Pelodiscus sinensis: one gene and its partners. The protein of the gene in region 3 interacts with the protein of the main gene of each other region in a biochemical or structural test. Links are inferred from orthologs where the notes say so. Each region holds a gene or a part of one and is shown on either strand. Other genes may lie near its edges. The genes, in order: RAB11FIP1, RAB11FIP4 and RAB11A.

Region 1 (7,999 bases), on a different chromosome or scaffold from region 3:
ATTGTTTAATAAGCACATAGCTAAAAGGCACTGTCGTCTTCAAAGCATTTTGAAAACATTAATCTTCATTCCTATTGTGAACTCCATTGTTCATCCTCCCACTTATCCTTAAGGATGGTATGATTCGACCCACAGGATTCAAACTGTGTCGGGCACTCATATAAAAAGGGACACAGAGATCCTATCTATGTCCGTTTGCAAAGAAAGTAAATTGTATTGCAAACATACCAATGTACTGTACAGAACACTTTGTTTTGTAGGGACGTGCTTTCATGGCTTGATTTGACCTGCAGAGCCTTCTGCTGGTGATAGGCTCTTTTTTGTGCACTGATTCTGCAGTATTAGGAGCCAGAAAAACATTTTCTCATTTTATAAATGGAAGAATATGATGAAAAGTACTTGAAGCTGAACATCAAGTCTCAGAATGCCATTTTAAAAAATCATTTTCCTTCAAATCAATCAATCCATATCTTTGTCTTTTCACAAATTGACCATCTATGCTCCTAAATCCAAGCTTTAAATTAAAAAAAAAATTTGTAGCCCTCATGAAAGAATCATTACACGCAAATCCACAAGAAGCAGAGCGGATTCTGTCTCAAAATTTCCAGTAATATAGCCAAGATACATAATTTGTTCCTATTCATCACACTGGCACGTTAATTTAGATGCCTCATGACATCCAACTTCCATGTCAACATTACTTCATAAACACCTGCTCAAGTGTTTATCCTGCAATCTGAAACTGCTCTCCACTCCCTCTCGATGTCAACAGCTTCCTCTCTCCTTACCCACTTGCTAAGCCATTGGCTTCCTCTCACCTGCCAAATTCAGATTAACTTTGCCATGGAATAGCACAGGGATTTCCAACCTGGGGTACGCGTACCCCCAGGGGGTACGAGAAGCTTGTCTAGCGGGTACAGGGAATATTTGGTAAATAACTAGATTGTCCTAATTGAAATATTCCAAAAGTAGTAGTGTTAGTGAAAAAAGTTGTGGATTCTAGAGTCTAGAATTTATTTCCTTTCATATTGAATAGGGGGTACAGGAAGGTTTACTAAAAGCCAAGGGGGTACGGGGACTGAAAAAGGTTGGGAACCCCTGGAATAGCAGAAACATTGCCTACCCAAAAACACACAGGAGAATTTCAGCTGATGTACAGCTCCCCTATTTCTCGGATTCTCTCCTTGTTATTCAAGTGTATATTCCCTGGTTTGCTCTCTCACTTGGCTTCCAGTTCATTTGATGAAGTGGGTTTTACCCATGAAAGCTCCTAAGAACAGAAGAGCAGCCAGACTGGACGAGACCAAAGGTCCCAATGTTCTGTGTGCGACAGTGGCCAATGTCAGATGCCCCAAAGGGAATGAACAGAACAGGGAATCATCAAGTGATACCTCCTCTGTCACCCATTCCCAGCTTCTGGCAAACAGAAGCTAGGGACACCATCCCTACCCATCCTGGCTAATAGCCACTGATGGGCCTAACTTCCATAAATCTATCTACAGGAGGTCCCTGACTTGCGACCGCCTGAGTTCCAACCCCTCTGCACTTACAGAAACAGTTGTAAGTGTAGAAGGGGCCGAAACCCCCCGACTTACGTCCTCAGCCCGCATTTACGATGGCACACGGCGCATGCCGTAAATGAGGGTCTGAATGAGGACGTCCCCAACTTGCAACGCTTCCCCGGGAACCGATCCTGTTGCAAGATTTATACATGTGCGCGCACACACTTTTGGGGGGTCTCCAAAGTGCCACAGGCCCACTCATTTTTAAAGTTACCTTTCCTCCCTCCCTTTCCTTTCACATAACGGGGCCCCCCCTTTTTTTTCCCCTCCACCACATCTGGGGGTGGGTGGGGGGGTTGCCCACTCCCTCCCTTTCCTTTCCGGTTACATAATGGGGCCCCCACTTTTTTTCTCCACCACATCTGGGGGGGGAGGGTTGCCCACGAGTCTCTCGATTCGGCAACGTGTCCGAGGTGTCCTGGGCCCACGGGCTAACCCGGGCCGCCCCGGGAGAGGGGAAGTCAGACCCCCCCCCGGGGGGCGGGACGTGCGTGCAGGAGGGTCTCTAGGGTGGATACCCCCGGGGGGGCGGGGCGGTGGGGGGCGGGCCCGGAGCGCACCCCCCCGGAGAGGTTCTCTAGGGCGGGGCGGTGGGGGGGCGGGCCCGCACCCCCCCAGGAGAGGGTCTCTAGGGTGGATACCCCCGGGGGGGGCGGTGAGGGGCGGGGCAGGCCCGCACCCCCCCGGGAGAGGGTCTCTAGGGCGGATACCCCCGGGGGGGCGGGCCCAGAGCGCACCCCCCCGGGAGAGGGTCTCTAGGGCGGGGCGGTGGGGGGCGGGCCCGCACCCCCCCGGGAGAGGGTCTCTAGGGTGGATACCCCCGGGGGGGCGGGCCCAGAGCGCACCCCCCCGGAGAGGGTCTCTAGGGCGGTGAGGGGCGGGGCGGGCCCGCACCCCCCCGGGAGAGGGTCTCTAGGGCGGGGCAGTGGGGGGCGGGCCCGCACCCCCCCGGGAGAGGGTCTCTAGGGCGGATACCCCCGGGGGGGGCGGGGCGGTGGGGGGCGGGCCCGGCGCACCCCCCCGGGAGAGGGTCTCTAGGGCGGGGCGGGGCGGGCCCGGCGCACTCCCCCCCCCGGCTCACCGGGTGCTGCGGCGGCCGCCCTCGTCCAGCAGCGCGGCCAGGCCGATGTCGGCGCGGCCCAGGAACTTGTCGAGGCCGAGCAGCGCGCGGTGCAGCACGGTGAGCTGCAGGCGGGGCTCGGCGGCGCCCGGCCGGCGCGGCGGCGGCAGCTCGAAGGCGGCCTCCTCCCGCCACTCGGGCGCGCCCAGGCAGCGCTCGGCCACCGACGTGGCGAACCGCTCCTTGCCCAGCGCCATGAGCGCGTACGCGTCGCTGCCGCCGCCGCCCTTGGCCCGCAGCCCCCGGGCCCGCAGCACCGTCACCTGCACGTGCGTGGGCGCCCAGCGCGGCGCGGGGCCCGCCAGCGACATGGCGGACAGACCGACAGACAGACCGAGCGCGGACTGACTGACTGACCCGCGCGCTCCCTGACTGACTGACTGACTGACTGACCCGCGCGCCGCGCGCCGGCGAGGCCGCGCCGCAAATCTCGCGAGAGCCGGGCCGGCCTCCAGCCGCCCCGGGGCACAGCGGCAGGTGGAGGGGCGGAGCTGGGGGAGGGGCGGGGGAGCTGAGTGGCAGGTGGAGGGGGCGGGGCAGAGGGGGAGATGAGCAGAGGCAGAGGGAAGGGGCGGGGCAGAGAGGCAAGTGGGAGGGGCGGAGCTGGGGGAGGGGCGGGGGAGCTGAGTGGCAGATGGAAGGGGCGGGGCAGAGGGCGAGAGGAGCAGAGGCAGGTGGAGGGGGCGGGGCAGAGGGGGAGATGAGCAGAGGCAGAGGGAGGGGCGGGGCAGAGAAGGGGGTGGGGCTGAAGGGGGCGGGGCAGAGGCTTCCTGAGGGGTGGTGGGTGGGGCCAAGGCACCCACGGTTCCCTGCTGGGGGAGTCTCACTTCAAACCAGCACCCCCGGGTGTCAGGGCTCCTCTGGGGCTGCGTAGCGCCCACCCGTCAGCAGCCACCATCTCAGTAACACCTGGCCCGCTGGACTGCCCCAGCCTGCAGACAGCCGCCCCCCAACTGCCCCCTTCCAACAGCCGCCCCCAAGTGTCCCCTTCCAACAGCCGCCCCCCAACTGCCCCCTTCCAACAGCCGCCCCCAACTGCCCCCTTCCAACAGCTGCCCCCCAAGTGCCCCTTCCAACAGCCGCCCCCAACTGCCCCCTTCCAACAGCTGCCCCCCAAGTGCCCCTTCCAACAGCTGCCCTCCAAGTGCCCTGGACATGTGACCAGCCCCCCCTCACTGCCCCCTTCAAACAGCCGCCTTCCGACCCCCCCTTCTCCACAGCCACCTTCCCACTGCCCCCTTCAATCCATTCCCACAGGAACATAGAATGAGTGGCAGGCCCCCCAGGCAAGGGAGGCTGGTGTTTATTTGGCAGGATTTCTGAACAATCACAAGTACAGTATCTCAGCTTGGAGCGTTGTGATTCTATCAGTCAAAACCATCTTTTCACCCTCAACATACCCTGCCATGTTTTCTGGCTTTATACAAGAAAAAGCTGCAAATGTAGGAGTGACCTCTGAGCTTTACAGGTCACTAGAAGCTTCATTCCTTTGGTGCCCTTCCCCTTTTCCGTAATTGACGGTTTTACACCAGGAAGCCTTGTTCTGCCCAGAGAGAAGCGGAACGCAAAGGTGGTTTCTGCAGTTTCGGTGCTGGGCTCATATCAGTGTAATGCTTTCAGGGCGGGGTGAGGATCAGACTGGTTACTCATTTACAGGAGTTGGTAAACAACGATCTCACCTGTTCCCTTAACCACAGTTCCCCAGTAAGAAGCTCTGTAGTCACTCCTTGTGCATGCTCACAGATGGGTGCACTGAGTCTTGCATTGAGAATTTCCTGGAGGTTAGGACCATAAAAGGCTATTAGCCAGGGGATAGAATTGGTGTCCCTGGCCTCTGTTTGTCAGAGGCTGGAGAGGGCTGGCAGGAGACAAATGGCTTGATCATTGTCTTCGGTCCACCCTCTCTGGGGCACCTGGTGCTGGCCACTGTTGGCAGACAGGCTACTGGGCTAGCTGGACCTTTGGTCTGACCCAGTACGGCCGTTCTTATGTTCTTATGAGGAGATTAACTGAGTATTAAAAACAGGAACATTACCTCCACTACAGCTCCTAATCTTGCTAATGCAGGAGTAAATCTTTGGAACATTTCTCTACTATGGACATAAGAGCAGCCAGACTGAGTCAGATGAAAGGTCCATCTAGCCCAGTGTCCTGTCTTCCCAAAGTGGCCAATGCCAGATCCCCCAGCGGGAACAAACAGAACAAGGAAATCCCTCCCCTGTCACCCATTCCCAGCCTCTGGCAAACAGGCTGGGGACACCATCCCTACCCATCCTGGCTAGTAAGTATTGATGAACCTGTCCTCCATGAATTTATCTAGTACTTGGTCTTCACAACATCCTCTGGCAAGGAGTTCCACAAGTTGCCTGTGCGCTGTGAGCAGAAAAACTTCCTTTTGTTTGATTTAAACCTGCTACCTATTAATTTCATCTGGTGACCCTTAAGTTCTTATGTTATGGGAACAAGTAAATAACTTTTCCTTGTTCACTTTCATGATGTTATAGACCCTTAGCATATCCCCCTTTAGTCTCCTCTTTACTAAACTGAAAAGTCCCAGTCTCATTAATCTCTCGTCCCATGGCAGCCGTTCCAAATCCCGAATCGTTTTTGTTGTCCTTTTCTGGACCTATGTGGCTGAAACTACAGTCATAAAGTTCTAGAATGAACTCACACAGGAAAGCGACAAACTTCAAGTGCTCACTTCATTCTCTTGAGCTGAGATATCACTCTTGTGATATTACCAGTTCGTCTGGGTCTCCATCTGTAAAAAACAACAACAACTTTTTGAAGGGAAAAAGTATGCCAGGATTTCTCAATACATCACCCAAATAAGCATCCCAGTGTTTTCCTTAGTGGCTCAAGTTAACACATCCTGGGGATTCACCTTCCCTCATCCTGGAACTTCTATCCTTAATGCTTTGTTTACCTTGTCTTCCAATAATTTCCCCTTGGGGACGTGACCAGTTAAAGACGAATGCCAGGCCCCATTTGTAATGCAAACAGGCCCATGACCCATGAGTCAAGTGTCCTGAGTTCTCCATGTGACCCTAGATATAAAGAGATTGCAGAACTGAAATAATAAACACACATGGGAAAAAATAAATTCACTGTTTCAGCAGAGACCAAGTATGGAAGTTGTCAGCCCAGTGCTGAATGTTGTAGCTCGTTATGATCAAATGAATATGGGGTGATGACAGCAACTGTGATACAACCTTAACTATCGCAAATGCAATTAGACCCTTTGTATTTAAATGGTACATATCAGATGACCAGTGTGTCATGGCACACAATATACAGTTGACAACAGACAGTGGCATAGGTGGAGACAGCATCACGTGCGATGCCAGATGATAAATTGCACGGCTATGCCACAAATGAGTTTATCACACCTTTGACTGCCTCACTGCCCAGTGCCCGCTAATCTGACGATCTAGGACTCGTTCCAACATTCCAAACGGCTGAGCAGCCATTTAAAAATAGTTCTCCTACTGGAGAAAATACAGCTTGTCCTTCTCTCTCCACACCTGGGATTTCTCCCCATATTTACACTGACCCAGAGGGAAAGAGATATTCTTGAGCCAGTGACAGATGCTTTATACATACAAATGTCTATAGTTTTAGAGTCCACCATCTCCTGGCCCTTTGAGGCTATAAAGCCAGGGCTGCATCCCACTGGAGACTAAATGCCCCGATAGCGACTATGGAGGTGAAACTAGACAACCACAACACTCTCAAATGAACTCACACAGGAAAGCGAGCCCTCTACACCTGACCTGTCAGTCCCATCCTCAAGTGAAATCTACACAATACTGTCAAAAGACGAGCTGGGAGCTGAAATTCATAACTTTCCTAGATATTAAAAATCAGGAACTGTGACTACGGACACTGGATTTATGGCTGATTACAACTATCTCTAACCCATTGGAACAACATTCTTCTTCCTCCTCTTTCTCTTCCTTTCCTCTGACTGCAATGAATGTTTATAGGGCCATGCCACCTTGAATGGTCCCTTGAAATATGTGTTAACTACTTGTGCTCAACAATTAGTTCCTCCTTGTATTTAGCTGTGGTCATAATGGACCGCAAGCTAAATATAAGTCCACAGTGTGACACTGTTGCAAAACAAGCAAACATGATTCCGGGCTGCATTCACAGGAGTGTGGTGAGCAAGACACAAGAAGTCATTCTTCCACTCTACTCTGCGCTGGTTAGGCTGCAGCTGGAGTATTGTGTCCTGTTCTCGGCACCACATTTCAGGAAAGAGGTGGAGAAATTGAAGAAGGTCCAGAGAAGAGCAACAAAAATGATTAAAGGTCTAAAAACACGAGCTGTGAGGGAAGGCTGAAAGAACTGGGTTTGTTTAGTTTGGAAAAGAGAAGTCTGGGGGGCGATGCCAGGGGTACTTTTCAAGTACCTAAAAGGGTGTTTCAAGGAGGAAGACGACAAATTGTTCTCCTTGGCCTCTGATGCTAGGATAAGAAGCAATGGGCTTAAACTGCAGCAAGGGAGGTTGAGGCTGGACATTAGGAAAAACTTCCTACTTGTCAGGGTGGTTAAGCACTGGAATAAGTTGCCTGGGGAGGTTGTGGAATCTCCATCACTGGAGATATTCAAGAGCAGGTTAGACAGACACCTGTCAGGGATGGTCTACAGGGCTTGGTCCTACCGGGAGGGCAGGAGACTGGACTTGATGACCTCGCGAGGTCCCTGCCATTTCTAGGGTTCTGTGACTCTGAGACTAAGTACCTTTCCCAGGCCTGGAGAACTGCTCTGTGTAAGCCCAAAAGTTTGTCTCTCTCACCAACTGAAATTGGTCCAATACAAGAGAGTCCCGCCCCCACCTTCTCTCATTAGAGTGGAGTGATTCCCCGCTGACAATCGACCTGCCACACACGGCTAGAAGACCTGAGATAAGGGACTCTAACGGTGAGATGGGTTTTGGCATTAACATCCATGTTTGTGTCATTTTCATCTGGGCTAAGACACCCCCTGAGCCCCACTGGATCCGTTTCATCCTCCTCTTTGCATGCCTGTGTGCTGCCTTGGAGGGTTCACCTTTTGGGGCGTGGCTCTGTGATGCTTCGAGTTTGGGCTACGCTCCGGAGTTTTCCCCAACTTTAAGCTTGGCTGGAAGGTGGGAGGCCTCAGCACGAGGCACAACAAGCCTAGCATTGCTGCTCGCGGAACGAAAATACGTGCAGCTGGGCTAGTGAAAGCCTGAACCGGCCTGCCCGCTGGCACACCCAGATCCAGATAGCCTGGTTTATAGGTCAGACCTTAAACTGAAAGGTTTTTATTATTTATGGCCCCTTGTGCA
Region 2 (8,002 bases), on a different chromosome or scaffold from region 3:
GTGAGTACAGCACACAATCAGCTCAGCGTGCCCCGGATACTCCCAGCTTTCAGATCTTAGTCCCTGACGCCCAGCATCCTGCTTCTGCCCTTCACATCTCAGCTCCCATGTGCTCTGCGCTGACATATCTGCTCCGGGATCTCAGCTCTAAGCTTGGCCGTCTGCAGTGACAGTTTCTTTACCGTACTTTGCCGCTCTCGGATATCGGCCTTCTTGCAGATTTCGCGGCACACCGGTTTTGCATGTCGGTGCTCAAACTCCAATTTTCAGCCTTAGCTTCCAGTGCTTCTTTGCAAATGTAGCTATGGCTTGGAACAAATATGAGACAGAGTGATCCAGTCATTGAACAGGCAGATTTAGTGTATGCTTCCCTATCTTTGCCAGTGCATAGCCACCCTGACTTGCAGCTCCCAGCCTAGAGCAAAAGAGACTGCTCTTTCATCATAGTAAAGGTGGAACTTCCACGGATGTCAATGAAGATTATTGCCAGAGAATAGTGATAGAAATGTAGCCGTGTTAGTCTGGGGTAGTTGAAGCAAAATGCAGGACAATGTAGCACTTTAAAGACTAACAAGATGGTTTATTAGATGATGAGCTTTCGTGGGCCAGACCCACTTCCTCAGATCAAATAGTGGAAGAAAGTAATTGTATCCTTTGGTATATATGGTTGTGACTACTTTCTTCCACTATTTGATCTGAGGAAGTGGGTCTGGCCCACGAAAGCTCATCATCTAATAAACCATCTTGTTAGTCTTTAAAGTGCTACATTGTCCTGCATTTTGCCAGAGAATGTGTTCCTTTGGGCTGATCAGGCACAACCAAGCATACCCATTTTTATAGTGCACTATGTAACACACACCAGTGCAGGCTAGGGTGCCATGTTGCAACTCATGATTGTATCACGATTGTTGTGCTATTTGGTGAGTTTTCTTAAGCTCCAGCTCCTAAAGTCAATTGCTTACAGGAGATGATCAGCTTTCCTATAAAACACAAGAAAGTCTCCACAAACTAATGGAATCTAAATTAGCTGTTACAGTTGAAGAAAAATCTTGGAGTCATTGTGGACAGTTCTCTGCAACCCTCTGCTCAATGTACAATGGAAATAAAAAAAAAATAACAGAATGTTAGAAACCATTATGAAAGGGATAGAAAAGAAGGCAGAAAATATCAGAAGCTATCAGTCCATGGTATGATGAACTCCAGTCATCTGAAGAAGTGGGCTGTGCCCATGAAAGCTCGTGATACCATCTACATGGTTTTTTTTTCTGTACAGACTAACTCGGCTAACCCCTGAAGTGTGGAGAAAATGAATGGACCTGGAAATGTTACATACCCTGTCACCTAACACAAAAACCAGGAGTCACCCAAAGAAATGAACAGGCAGCAGGTTTAAAACAAACATAAATAAAATACTCCTACACATAACACACTGTCAACCTATGGAACTCATGGCCAGAGGATGATGTGAAGGCCAAAAGCATAACAGTTCAAAAAAGCATTAGCTAAGTTCATGGAGAGTAGGTCCACCAGTGGCTATTAGTCAAGATGGTTAAGGGTGTGCAACCCCATGCTCTGGATTTCTCCAACATTTAACTGCCAGAAGCTGGATTTCTCCAACAGGGGATAGATGGCTTGATAATAGCCTTGTGCAGTTCATTCCCTCTGAAGCACCCAACTTGGTCATTGTCAGAAGATACTGGGTTAGATGGACCATTGATATGGCCCAGTCTGACTGTTTATACGTTCTAAATGTCAAGAGTTGTGGAGAAAAGCTTGAAAATGTGGCCCTAGGGCAGAGGTGGGGAACTTTTTTTAGGTCTGGGGCCGATGACCCACAGAAAAATCAGTTGGGCAGGGGGCAGCAGGGGCTTGAGTGTATCACGATTTTTCCGTTAAAAGCATTTCCGGAAAATCATGCCTGTTTAGACATAGCCCAGTAGTAGAGCTGAAATCCTTATACATTTTTTTAATGTGTCAGGTCACAGTACTTATTTAAAGACTGTCTTATGGAAACTGGAATTTTTAAAATAGGTTGCTTAAAGAAATACCAAGTTGGCAGTGTCTCTTTAATCCCTCCCCTCTGTCTGTTGCCCCTTCAAATTAAGGTGGCAGGCTGTGGGAAGCTTGCACTGCTTCTGTTCCTTACACTGTCACTGTTCTATGGATCAACATAAGACATCAACCCACAGGGCTGTCAAGCAGGTTTTCTTCCTGAACATCAAATGCACACACAAAGAGGATGAAGTGTGTGTTTGGAGAACCAAAACTTCTGGGGAGGGGGGAAATGTATGGCCCCTGGACCAGAGGAGGGAAGAATTTTGATGGGCTTCTTTCTATCATGGCATTTCCAGAGACATGAGGCGGAATGTGAGACCTTTGTTATTCTGTTTTGGGAAAGCAAGAAATGTATGAGATAGTGTTTTCATTTCAAAGCCCAGTGCTAAGTGTAAAATCTTTAGCACAGAGCAGTTTAAGGGAGCGGCCTTATTAACAGTCTGAAAAACATCACTCGTCAAATCACACAAGATGTAAAATGGAATATTTACAGGACCCAGGGCATAATTCAGAAAGAGGGATCCATTCTTTGTCCACTTCTTTGACCACCTAGAAAGCTTGTGGATATAGACTAGAAGGGCTATTTTAAGCCAGGAGGTCGGAGGGGCAGTAGCAAAAGGGTTTAATTAAGAAAAGATAATTTTACACTGAATCGTTATTCAGTGATGATATAACTTGCAATGGCAGGCGAGTCATTAAATGACTTGATCATGTCTGACTTATATTGCCATGCAATGTCCCCTCTTACAAACCAACACTGCTGCAAAATGTTTTTTGAGTAGCACAAAATCAAAGATGCCTCTATTCACTTTATCTGGAGCAGACAGGTGCTTGCTTTTGTTTGCCCTCTCTTTATCTTAGTCGCACACTTTCTTTTCATTTCCAGCTCTCCTCCATTTAATCTGATTTTTCTTTATTTTATATTCTACTGACTTCTAATACTGAACTCTTTCATGATACTTTTCAGCTGTGGAGCACAAAGCACATTACAAAGGAGGGCAAGTAGTATTATCCCAGTTTTACAAATTGGGAAACTGAGGCACAGAGGGAGACCCGGGTTCCCTGAGTCCCAATTCCATGTTATAACTGCTAGCGCATGACAATCCCTTTGCTATTAGTTATCTGCTTAGACTCTCAGCCGGTCTCCCTCTTTTTTTCCCTAGCCCCAGAAAATACTAACTATCTCCTCTCCCCTAGTTTTTCTTTGGCCAGTTTCCCTTCTTGCCCTGTGTACCTGGTGAGTGGCTGCTGTTGTTGTCCCCTCCTCCCCATTCATTTCATTTCTCCTACTTTTTTTGTTTTTGCCTTTCTCTTTCTTCTTCCCTATTTTGCCTGCCCCCTTCTCTCCCTCACCTCCTACCAATGTGATTTGCCCTTTCTTCTCTTACCAGATCCGGGGTAACTGAGAGCTTGGTTTAGGCCTCCTTGCTCCAGCTCCCATCAGCAACTACAGCAGCCTGACTCCACTGACCAGACAGTAAAGTGCAGCCCTGTGCCAAGGGGCACGAGCGGAGCCAGAGACCCCTAAGGAGGTGGCCGTGTCTCCTGCTGGTGCCTCTGTGCTTTTAGCTCTAAGGGATGGTCTCACCTGACTCCTCCCTACCATATTTGCTATCACTGGCTGTTCTCTCCCCATTCCTTCCCTTAGTTCTCCCTCTTCCCTGCCCTAAAACACCCTCCCCCTGCTCTGCATCCCCTCCCTTCTCACATCCCCCTCACCACAGCCCTGGTCCTCCCATTCCTGGTTCTCCCCTCCTTCCCCAGATCTTCCTCCTCTCTCACACACCCCCTCTCCTAGATCCTCTCCCCCCTTCCCCTCCCCATTCTTCTACCCCTTTCCTCTAGCATCTTCCTCCCCCCTTCTCCCTCTCCCCTCTCCCCTAGTTCCTACCTCCTCCTGGTCCTCCCCCTCCTCTCTCACATCCCCCTCTTTGTATCAGTCCTGGTTCTCCCCCTCTCTTGTCCCAGATCCCCTTCCTCTCCCACACACCCCTCTTCCATTCCCTCTGTTTCCCCCCTTCCCTTCTCCTTTCTTCTACCCCTCTCCTCTCCCACCTCCCTCCCCCTCCCCTCTCACACACACCCTCTCCCCTAGTTCCTACCTCCCTCTGGTCCTCCCCCTCCTCTCTCACATCCCCCTCTTTGCCTCAGTCCTGGTTCTTCCCCTCTGCTGCCCCAGATCCCCTTCCTCTCCCCCCCTTCCATTCCCCGTTTCCCCCCTTCCCTTCTCCTTTCTTCTACCCCTCTCCTCTCCCACCTCCCTCCCCCTCCCTTCTCACACACACCCTCTCCCCTAGTCCTCCCCTTCCTCTCTCACCCCCCCCTTGCCTCAGTCCTGGTTCTCCCCCTCTCCTGCCCCAGATCCCCTTCCTCTCCCCCCCTTCCATTCCCCGTTTCCCCCCTTCCCTTCTCCTTTCTTCTACCCCTCTCCTCTCCCACCTCCCTCCCCCTCCCTTCTCACACACCCCCTCTCCCCTAGTCCTCCCCTTCCTCTCTCACCCCCCCCCCCCCTTGCCTCAGTCCTGGTTCTTCCCCCTCTCCTGCCCCAGATCCCCCTCCTCTCCCACATACTCCGTCTCTCTCCTAGTTCCTCTCCCCTTCCCCTGTCCTCCCCCTCCCCTGGTTCTCCCCCTCATATTCTCCCTCCCCTCCCCTGGTTCCCCCTCTCCCCTCCCCCTCCTCTGGTTCTCTCCTCCCTCTCACACTCCCCCTCCCCCGGATCCCCTTCCTCTCTTGCACCCCCTCCCCTAGTCCCCTTTCTCCCAGCGCTCCCCCCCCCCCCCCGTTCTTTCCCTGCTCCCCCCCCCCCCCCAGCTGGCTGATGTCACACGCCGGCTGCAGGGAGGGAGGGAGGCAGGCAGCCGGCGATCATGGCTGCTGGCGGCCGGAGCCTGGCGCGGGGCTCGCGCTAGGTGCCCGGCATGGAGCCCGCCGGGCCCGGGGAACCGGCCGACTGGCCGCGGTTGCTGCGGAAGCTCAAGCAGGTCTTCGACGTGTGCGACGAGGATGCGGACGGCTTCATCCGCGTGGAGCATTTCGTGGCCCTGGGGCTGCAGTTCGGCCAAGGGGAGGAGGTGAGAGGGGCCGGGGGCGCGCCCAGACCCCGGGCTCGGGGGGTTGGTACCCGGGGCCGGTTTCCTCCATCGCCTTGGATCCCCCCCCCAGCTTCCCTCCCCCGCCCTGCCTCCTCTCCCCTTGCACCTGCAGCCCCCTCTGCCCTGGGCATCTCTGTCCCTTTGCAGCAGCTGGCACCGAGGCTGCCCCTGCAAGAGACCAGCGCTTCGCCTCCCCCGGGGCGCCCGGCGCCCGCAGGACCAGGCTGCAGCGGGCTCCGATCGCGGCGGAGGCGATTGCATGGAAATGCACTTTCTCCTGCAGCCTGGAGCAGACAGAGACACCCTCAGGGATGGGGCGGCTGTGACTCCAGCCCCCTCTCGCCCCCCGCGGGAGAGGGGCAGGTATGTGTGTGCAGCCGCCCATTTTGCACCGAAACCCTCTTTCTCTTGTCACTATGAAGCAACTTCACTGAAGTCTCTGCTTTGGAACACCCCACCCCCTTGCCAAACAGGTAAATAGGCCACGACCTACATGGCCTTCCATGGGAATGAACCCTGGAGCAGGGTGAAGCAGAATATAACCCAATATAATTTTTTTGGTCTGAATCAGACTGCAGGGCCAGGCTCCTGTTCTCTTGAGTTTATTTCCTACCCTGCTGTTTTGCCCTCATGCAAATAGCTCCCGTCTCTCATGAAACACCTGGGTATGACCTTGTTTACAAAGCTGGCCTTGCTTTGCCTTGTTTTCTAAGCAGATATACACCTGCTCTAGTGAACAGATGTGTGATGAGTCTGGGTTTCGCTGGTTTTTTGTTTGTTTGGCCAGGGCATGACTGTTCTAGTGAAAGGAAAGGTTTCTCTGGCCTGGTAACATTCCCTCCTTAGCTATGTGAACAATCTGAAAAAAGGTTCCATAGAGGAATAATTTGAAAACAGGCTCCATCAATTATGCAAACAAGATGCTCTTTTGAAATGGGTGCTTTTGATGCAAACCCTGTCACTCTGTTATGGGTCTGTCATAATTCCTTATACAAGTAAGTCTTGTTTGGCCTTCTTGGTGTTTAAAGAACACAGAGTACTTTCTGGAATGCTTTTGAAGATATTTAGCAGCATCACATTACATATTACTACAATGGAACACACAGAAAAGCTGTGAGTTAGAATTATGGGCCTATCATTGACTCAGGCATACAACTGGAGTCACTCCACTGGCTTCAATAGAGCCATAACTTCAGTGGAATCATTATCACTGCATTACATCAGTGTACAGAAGAGTAGAATTTGGCCCCATGTCAGAATAATTACATGCATTTCAATTGGAACAGTTCCTCTTAAATGATTTTGTAAAGAGAGAAATCTCAAACAAAATTAACCAGACATAAAATCTTGAATTTCACGATACAATTGCTCCCCTTCAGAATACGGTATTGCCTCTCTGAATCGCTACATAACAAAATGCTCTGACACTTGGAAAAAAAGGAGGCAGTGCCACAAAACAAAGCTGATGTCAGGATGAAAAGTTCTGACCTTTTAAAATGCAGCAAAACATTAATCTGCAGAGATTGTAACGAGAGATACGTTTATAAAAGAGATCCAGGGAGGTACGATAGTAGAAAAGCATAATGAATTCATAGTCATTGTCAAATGAAGTTACTAAATTTGGATTGGAAAATTGGTAATGGAACAAGACTTGTGAATTAAATTAAAGAAACAGGAGGCTCCATTTCTTGCATCTAATCACTGAGTTGTTTAATATTTCTTTAATGAGAGACTAGTGCTATTTTTCAGTTACCAGTAATATAAGGAGAAGAATGGACTAACAGGAGTGAGCTTTTTGACCTCTCTGTTTTTATTTGTCCATTGAAAAGTTATACATTCCTATATAAACAAAGGGCCTAAATTCTTAAATCCATATTGCAAGAAGCATTGTACTATGGGTGGTTTTTGTATTACTATATTTATTTCATTCTTAGATCAATAACCTTTTCTTGCTGGCATTTTGGAAGGCTTGTAAAATTCTCTGGCCTTTGTTTTGCTGGAGATCAGTCTTAGATGATGATGTTCTTTATGACTTTAGCATGTACGGAATCTATCAGGTTATTAGGAGTGGAGCAGGGAGAAAAATTGGAGCAAGCAGGTTGACTCATGTCTTAAAATGTCTTTATTTTTTTGTAGATGAATGTATTCGAAATATTTAGACGTGGAGACTGATGAATTAAAATATTGGAAAATTATAAACCGTGAATGGTTTATTCTAAATTTTTGGGAGGGACTTAGATGACTGACTAGGCGCCAGAGAAATAAATAATATGCAAATAAGAGATTAAATTACAGGCTGCAGCATATGTCTAGCTAAACAGGGTGAATGGTAATGAGAAATGCCCCGTAATCATCATTACATTCTTGTTAGTTGTAACTGACAATGTTTGAAAAATATACTTGCAAGAATGAGACCAAGGAATTTACCTCTGTGTAGCATGCATATTAGAACTTGTCTTAATTTGTCTTTGTATACATAGTCTGATCTGAAGCCAATTGTTGATGTCATTGAAAGACCCTTGTTGATTTTATTGGGCTTTGGAATTGGATCAAACCCTCAGTCCTTGATATGTTACATTTGTTGCTTTAAGTGGATCAAAGCAGAACTTCACATCTGAACTCCTTTAATTTTAGTGTGTTAAGTGCATGTGGATTCATGTCCCCTGCCTCTACAGTTTTGGTTCTGGGACAGCTCCTAATCCAGAAGGGTCAGTGCTAGTTTATAGCTTTGGTTGCTGCAGCTAAAATATTAACATTTGAGGCCAACATCGCATGAAACTAACGATCTGATTTCAGTGCTCTTGAATCTGCTGCCAAACCTTAGCCCTGATTCAGTCTGAACCACAACCTAA
Region 3 (8,142 bases):
TAGTTTGATTTGTGGGTTTTTTTTATTTACTTAAATTCAATACTATGAGAAACAAATGTAATGGACAAGATACAAGAAGGATAAGGACAGTAATGCCCAGGAGGGTTTTAGGAAGTACGGAGCCCAATTCGAACCATTTCGACGAGGTCCCGGCAGCCAGGATTTTTTCTTGACACTCACCAAAAAAATTAATAAAATAAAAAATAAAAAATACACATACAAAATTTTGGTTGAGCCAAAAAAAAAAACCCAAAACCCAACAAAAAAACAGCGCACAGAAAAAAAAGTCACAGTCCCTTTAAATCTCCACCTTCCCACCAAACCCTGGGCCCTGGGGCCAACTCACTCGTTCTGCGGTGCACAGAAGCCAGCCATGCCAGCACACTGGCGTGGGGCCCAATTTGGGGGAATCGGGCGAATCAGCCTAAAGCTGGCCCTGGTAATGCCAATGCACCTCATCCCTAGACTGCTGAATTCTCTGCTATTCCAGTGCTGAAGTACATACTCATCAATAATGTTACTACCCTTCATTACCTATATGAAGTATCCCATATAATTCAAACCTGGCTGCCTTCAAACCTATGTCAATGCTCCTTGTTCTTGGTTTGCCACACTTCCTGCTATCCCAATCCTGTATGCACCTTAGTCCTGGTAACTTTCTTGCTCAGGGGTAGGGAAAAACACCCTCCACTCAGAGTGCAGCAAGTTACAGCCCTGTAAAGCTGCAGTGTAAACGGGTTCCCAGCACTGTTAGCTAGTACCCTTAAGGAGGTGTTTATCCATGACCACACTGTAGTGACAGGACTTTAAACCTGAATGTATAGATGGGGATTGATACTGCAATGATTGATCCACCAGTTGTCGATTTATTATGTCTGCTTAGACATGATAAAGCAATCCATGAGTGCTCTCTCATCAATGCCAGTATTCCATCAAGACAAGAAAAGTAGCTGGCATCTTGGGAAAGCAACCCCTACTGACCTTACCGTACACTAGACGCCATAGTAAATACATCGACTTCAGTTATGCTGCTTGCGTAGCTGAAGTCACACACATTTGATTGATGATGGGGGTTAGTACAAAAAAGGCCAAAGCCTTAGATTGACATCATTCTATAGCGTGGACATTCCCTCAGGAATAGGTGCCTAATTGGTGGGTTCTCCAGAGCTCAAGCACACACAGAAAAAAAATAGAGGGTGCTCATCACCCACTAGCCCCAGTGATTCTGGCCTTGGGACTGGCCACTGATCAGCTGTTTGACAGCCCCAGGGCTGGCCGCCAATGAGCTATTTGTCAGGTGGGAGATGCTTGGGGGAGAGGAGGCAGAGAGGAGGGAGTGGCAGGTTGGCTCAAGGGAGCGGGCATAGAGAGGGTGGGAAGAGCTGGAGCTAGGGCGGAGGGAGAGGAGAGCCTGTGGGAAGAGGCAGAGCATGGACAGGGCCTTGGAAAAGGGGCAGAGTGGAGTGGGAGTCCTGGGGCAGACCAGGGATGGAGCACTCACAGGGAAAAATGTAAATCACCTCTTGTGCCCTGCGGCACCGAAAGTAATCTACCCTGCAATAAAAGACCTGAGAGTGGCACAGGATAACAGCCTTGAGTTTGCAGGGCTCTGACATTACAGTGTAGAACCTAGGCTCTATGATCTCATGAGGCAAGTAGGCCTCAGCTCCCAGGCATCTACAATGCAGTTTTCAGTCTATCAGCCTGAATCCACAGCCTGGTGTCTGAGCTATGCAGTTTTCACTGCAATGTAAACATATCAGAGGAAACTAAGTGACACGCAAGGTCACAGAAGCAGTTTGTGGTAGACCAAGGAATGAAACCTAGATCTCCTGAGGGCTGATCTAGTGCCCTTATTATAGAGCATCCTTCTTCTTTAATGGATGAACTATTATGTACTTTATTTTATTGCAAATCAATGGCTCCACTCAATCTTTTATTTTCAATGTTTCAGTGTTATTTTCAATGTTCGCATATTGGTGTGAATTTAACAGCATGTTCTTAAATAAACAAAAGATTCCATTAAGGGTTTCTTCTTATCCCAATGAATGGTGCTTGATATTCATAGTTCTCCTTAATGCCGGTGGGCTACATTTCTATAAAGTGAGATCAGAACATTCCCCTTAATTATGCAGATGTGTAACCGATCAATTCCACTGCCAAAAGCAATCTTGTGGAAGAACAAATTTTAAAGGCTCCAGTTCAATTATATGGCCACTAGTATCATTTTAACTCCTCACATCTTGGTTTCAATACTGTGCCATGGAGGTCAATGGCAAAGCTCTCACTGACTTCCACAGAATTGAATCCAATCCCTATGAAATAAGAATTTCAGGGATTGTACCCAAGTGTCATCGCTTTACATTAGACAGTCCTTAAGCAACACTCATTCTCCCAACAGCATTTTTGGATAAGTGCTCAAAACAGCTTTGCTCACCTGTGTTTTTTCTGATCCCGTGGTAAGAGGGACATTGTGGTACCAGATTTTTATTCACATCATGTAGGACACATTCAAAGCTGTTTCTGCCTTAGCCCAAGCGAATGCTTGAGTATCTTCTTCTGCTCCCTCCTGCTAAATGAGTTTCCCCCTGCCAAGCAGAACTTTATGACCTACTTCTCCCTCCAACAGTTTTTTTTTTCAGGAGAAAGACTAGATGTAAGATCTTCAAGACTAAAGACAGGGTTTTCAAAAATCTACCCAATCTTTGAACTGAGGTGATGTGAAGTGGAGCACACTGACTGTTCATTTTGTTCCCAAATAGCTCTAGATTTTTTTAACACTCTCTGTGGACACAGCACATTTCCAGAGATCCTCACACACAAGGCTCAGTCCTACTTGCTTTCCTCTTCAAGCCCCCACACCATGAGCCCTCCTCGACATAGTGAACTCTTTCACAGACTGGAGTGGTAGTTTACCTTCACTGCCCTTGCTGATGTGATAGTTCTGCCAAGTCCTGGACATCTCACTGGAGACTCCTACACATGGAGACCATTTTCTTCAGTTGACTGGGTAGAGTCCCATGCTTGGTCATACCTAGAGTACAAAATCCACCGTGTAAAACTCCTATGCCAAGTTGTTCACACCCTGTGGCCAATGAGTTACTTATGTGTTAAGCAGTGGCGGGCAGCCTGTGGCCTGCGTGTGACCCATGGGGTTCTATGTGTGGCCCATGAGACATTTTGTTTACTGTACTCCATGCACAGTTGCCAGATTCTGCTGGGTTCCATCTGCATTAGTTTTTTTCCTTCCTATTACTAAAGTGACACACAGAGCGAGGGCATGTGAAGAGGTGCATGCTGAGTGCATGCAACATTGACTGAGAGCTGTGCGCTCCCTGTACATCCACTCAAAATGCTGCTACAGTTGAATCAGCACACCATGCAAATTCTCCGAATGCAAGCACAGCTAGCAAAACTACCCTATCCTAGGAGATGGTCTTGGTTATGACAGTCTTTCTGCCCACTAAGATGAGAAGGGCCACTCATGCAGCCCACTCACTGACTTAGGATGCCCATCACTGATGAAAAGCATCCAGAGCGCTTGGTAGTCACAAGGCCAAAGAAAGTTACGTAAAAGATTCACATTTTTAATTTGTCTTTCCCTAGCAATACTTGTATTGCATGGATCCGGGTTATCCTAAGCACAGGGACTCAAAACTCCAGCTCACCATTGATTTGCTTGTAACTTGGCTACTTTCAGCCCCACTCTGTGCTTATTGCTGAGAGGTTTGTGAGCCTGATTGAGTCTCCTCGCTGCCCTAATTCAAGGCTGCTCTTTGCAGGGAGACAGCTGAACAGTTTTACAGGTGTCTCCTCCTAAATATTATTCTACACCGAATGATCCTGGTATTAATGATTATTAGTGTAACAGAAGAACTCTACTCCTTACTGGTTATTGCAGGGGTGTCCAAACTTTTTTCAAAGAGGGCCAGATTTGATGAAGTGAACATGCGTGAGGGCCGACCATTTTGCCTGACATTCTTTGAACCATTAAAATTAAATGCAAATTAACTATTTTATGCAAAGTTTATTGCAAACGGCATACTTTTCATTTCGTCACATGGATGACAAATCTAAACAGGTGTTAAATCACTCTGCCTTTCATATCTGAAGGCCAGATGAAAAAAAAATCCAGGAAGCTGAAATATGTCAGGAACATTGTAAAGTACATTGCATATTATTGGTAATAAAGGTTGTCTGTCAACTTTTAAGTTCCAAAAATATGAACAGGAACATAACACCAAGTATACATGTTGTGTCCAAATATATTTATAACTGATTTAGACCAACTGACATTAACTGAGATTTTACAATGTATTCATCTCAATACATATGGATTCGTTGGGGGCCATAAAAGATAGATATTGCCAAGTTACCTGGGGGGCCGTATTAAACCGGAACACGGGCCGCAATTGGCCCGCGGGCCGGACTTTGGACATGCCTGGGTTATTGCAACCAATAACTCCCAAAGCACTTGGGCTGGGTAAGGGACCACAGAGATCCAATAAGAATTAATGTATTTGTATGGACAACAATTAGATCTCTCGGGGAAAAGAACAGTGCAATGCCAGTAGGACAGAGCGGGAGGGTCCCACCTGCAGCTTGGAGAAGGGCGAGAAAAAAAAAATTCAGGTTCCACCGAGATTTGAACTCGGATCGCTGGATTCAGAGTCCAGAGTGCTAACCATTACACCATGGAACCGCCGTGGCGAAGTAGCGCCCGGGCGGGCTCTCGTTCTTGCTGCGGTTGGGCGGGCTCCCGCTTGGCGGTTGGGGTCCCAGCGAGGGGAGCAGCCGGGGTGCGCCCCGCCTGGGTCTGTGGGGGGCAGAGCCGGGATACAAGGGGGGCAGCCGGGCCAGAGCTCCCTGTGGCCAAGGCTACGGGCCCATAGCGCGAGGGGCCGGGGCCCCGTGTGTGTGGCGGGAGCGGGCGTTACACCGAGCCCGTGACAAGAGCCCGGCACGCGCCTGCCCCCTGCGGCCAGCGGGGAGGCGGTTGGCGAGCGGTTGGCGAGGCAACCCGCCGCTCCCGTCGGTGGGCGGGGCCAGGGCGGCGAAGCTCCTCCCCCGGCCGCTGGGCGTGGTGCTCCGCGTGACCCCGGAAGCCGTTCGCCGGCGGGTGGGGCGCGAGAGCGGAAGTGCCGCAGCGGCTGCAGGGAGGGGTCCCGGCTCTGGCAGTGCGGCGGCGGCGGCTCCCGCTCTCTGGCTGCGCGCACCATGGGCACCCGCGACGACGAGTACGACTATCTCTTCAAAGGTGAGCGGCGCGCCCGGGCCCTGCCGCCCTCCGCGCCAGGACGGAGCCTCCCGCGGAGGGTTTCCTGGGGAGCGGTCCCCCAGGGCGTGGACGAGGTGGGGGGGGGGCGCCCCCCCGGTTGAGCCGGCCCCTCCCCCAGGCGCGGACTGGATATGGTGGGGGGCAGCATTGCCCCCAACTGGGTCCGCTCCTCCTCCCGAGGCGTGGGCTGTGTATGGGGAGGCACGTCCCCCCCCAACTGCCTAGCGGGGAGTGGGAGGAACAGCCAGCCCCCCCCCCAACCGGAGGTGAGGATGTGGGGAGGGGCTTATTCTCCCTCCCTCCCCCCATTGGGCTGGCTGCTTCCCTCGAAGCGTGGACTGGAAGTGGGGGGCACATTCCACCCCCCCAGTTGGGCTGGCCCCTCCCCCTGAGGTGTGGCCTGGATATGGGGGACGCAACATTCCCCCCAACTGGGCTGGCTCCTTCTCCAGAGGCATGGGCACATTCTCTCCTCCCCCTCCCCCTCCCCCAAACTGGCCAGCAGGGTGTGTGTGTGTGGGGGGGGGGGGGGAGGAGGAATATTTCCCTCAGCTGGACCAGCCAGCTGGTTCTCTACCCTGATGTATGGACTGGGTGTGTGGGAGAATAGCCCTCTCTTCCCCTCTGCCCCCCCCACTTCTGGAACCAAACTTGTAAAAGTGCAAGATGTAAGGGTGTTCCAGTCTTTGTCAGGTCCCTAAATTTGAAATATCTATTCCTGGATTTGACTCCTCTGTAATATCTTCTGACCTCACCCTACCAGCATCATGGAGTGGGACAAAACTTATCTTGTTGGTAATGTTTGTGTGTCCCAGCATTTGATTTTGGCTGAGAGGATGTTTTATCCTGTGTGAAGTGTATTCCAGAGGTTGCTTTGCTATAAAACTATTTTGGAAGCCATTTTTGTCATCATTACAAAGCAACCTCAGTGTCTTTAATTTCTCTAAGGGTTTAGTAAACCATGATCTTGGCTTTCTTTTGTGGGACAGAGGAAGTGGTTTGCAGAGGTGCTTGTTCCTTGATTTGATAGTGTAATAAGTAATTTAATGTTCAAATTTCAGTGTCTAATCGTATAGTCAAACTCTTAAGACTGAGACCTGCTATTTAGAGCCAACTGCTTTGGAAGGAGCCTTGTGTTGTCAGGTTCTTATTGCCCAAAGAAGGCTGAATACTGACCACTAAAGATGTAGCTCCAGAAACCCTTTTAGGTTGTCTTGCCTTGCAGAGTATTGTTTTAAGTACTGGACATGTGAGCTTTGTAAGGAATGACTATTTTTGGACATGCCTACTCTAAAATGACCAATTATAACTAAATCTTGGAGCAGTTTTAATATAAAACAGCCATCATGGGCTCTTTCAGATCTTCGTACAGTGCTACTGTTCACCTCTTGAACTAAGAACAGTAAATGTGTTGAATAAAAGTAACTAGTGATTGTGTAGGAGAGTAGTCCTATTGCAGTTCACAGGTTAAACAGGGTTATTTTTTATGCTTTTCCTGGTGTTGACATAGCCTAAGCACAACTACTTTCATGCAGTAGTAAATCTTGCATTACTTGCCTCATATTGTGGTGAATCTCTGCTCCAGTGGTTGTTGTAACCATTATCTCTCACTCACTGATCTCACTTCCTGTTTTGTCACTCCATAAAGTTCCTGGAAGATGAAGGAAAAAAAATTCCTTGTTTTCCAGGATCTGGGTGCATTTTTTCTCATTTTGGTTCAGCTAAGTTTTGTTAAAGATGCATCAGAATGTAGCAAATGGGCCCTTTAACATTTATCTTTCTGAAGAATGAAACAGCAGTTGTTGCAAATGTTCACAAGTAAGATGTGCTGAAAAAACACCTAGTGAAATGGTGTGCTGCAGAACACTCAGTGAAACTTTAAAGATATCACTTAAACCACCTATTTGAAAATATTTTAGATATAGCCACTTGCTGTAATACTATAATGAAAATCTGCATGTATTGAGCCTTGGATTTAAAATATTAGTTTATACCTTGTAATTGAAAAGCAGCTCTGAAATGTGTCACAGCATATAGAGGGATGGAACTCAAAAGGGAGAATGTAAAGGTTCCCTTCCTGCCCCACCTCCCCCCATATTTAACTTAAGTGAACTTTTGTATGTTCTTCCATTTAGAAAGCATCTTTTTGCTTTTTCCCATCATTAGAACCATCTGTCAGGGCAAAGGTATACAACAAGTAAAACCAAGTTAGGGAATCTGTTTACAGCAGCAATTGTTATCTGGCAAGGTTACAATCCATTTGCCTTTTGAATTGTAGAAAAGTATATCCAATGCTCTTGTCCTGGTTACACTTCTGTTTACACTGAATTATTTAAGCCACCATCTTAAATTACAAGCACTACAAAAATTGTATTATGTGGACATATTAAGGGATAAGTCTTCTGTATGGAAAAACAAAAAAATTAAATTTATATAAACTGGTTACATCTCTATTCCAAATGTTATCTCTAGAAGAAAGAAGTGAGCATAAGGGAGGTCTTACGGATGAGGACACTGAGTTCAATCACTTAGAGTAGCATGGATGATATTTTTTATTCCTCCCCCACTCCCCTTCCATTAAATCACCAGACTTTGCAGAACAAACATTGTAGATCCTCCTCGACAATGTCACAGGCTGCGAACCTTATCTCCAAATCTGTGTGGATAATGCTGGTGTTTAGGGTAGAGGCCCACCTAGAACAGAGTCACAAGTGAGTCAGAGGAGTTGTTGCAACTTGGCTATCTCCTGACTCTGTTCAAGTGTTCATTGTGAGACTTACAAAAGTTGGGTTTTATCATTTCTTGTTGTCCTTCATGTTCCTACTCAGCGTGTTGCCCTTCGTGTTCCTACCTTTGGACTGCCA

The links.
Region 1: the proteins of RAB11A (region 3) and RAB11FIP1 form a complex in vitro, tested with the Homo sapiens proteins (2 studies listed by BioGRID, with this or other methods). The link is inferred for Pelodiscus sinensis from reciprocal best matches to the Homo sapiens genes RAB11A and RAB11FIP1.
Region 2: the proteins of RAB11A (region 3) and RAB11FIP4 form a complex in vitro, tested with the Homo sapiens proteins (2 studies listed by BioGRID, with this or other methods). The link is inferred for Pelodiscus sinensis from reciprocal best matches to the Homo sapiens genes RAB11A and RAB11FIP4.

What each region holds. Positions count from the first base shown.
Region 1 is NC_134738.1:15,051,725-15,059,723, forward strand, and holds the start of RAB11FIP1 (rab11 family-interacting protein 1), read right to left. Parts: upstream 3,079-7,999; 5' UTR 2,994-3,078; coding exon 2,644-2,993; intron 1,824-2,643; exon of another isoform or gene 1,124-1,823; intron 1-1,123. UniProt on the Homo sapiens protein: A Rab11 effector protein involved in the endosomal recycling process. Also involved in controlling membrane trafficking along the phagocytic pathway and in phagocytosis. Interaction with RAB14 may function in the process of neurite formation.
Region 2 is NC_134730.1:18,980,681-18,988,682, forward strand, and holds the start of RAB11FIP4 (rab11 family-interacting protein 4), read left to right. Parts: upstream 1-4,916; 5' UTR 4,917-4,976; coding exon 4,977-5,129; intron 5,130-8,002. UniProt on the Homo sapiens protein: Acts as a regulator of endocytic traffic by participating in membrane delivery. Required for the abscission step in cytokinesis, possibly by acting as an 'address tag' delivering recycling endosome membranes to the cleavage furrow during late cytokinesis.
Region 3 is NC_134724.1:5,321,879-5,330,020, reverse strand, and holds the start of RAB11A (ras-related protein Rab-11A), read left to right. Parts: upstream 1-5,119; 5' UTR 5,120-5,217; coding exon 5,218-5,257; intron 5,258-8,142. UniProt on the Homo sapiens protein: The small GTPases Rab are key regulators of intracellular membrane trafficking, from the formation of transport vesicles to their fusion with membranes.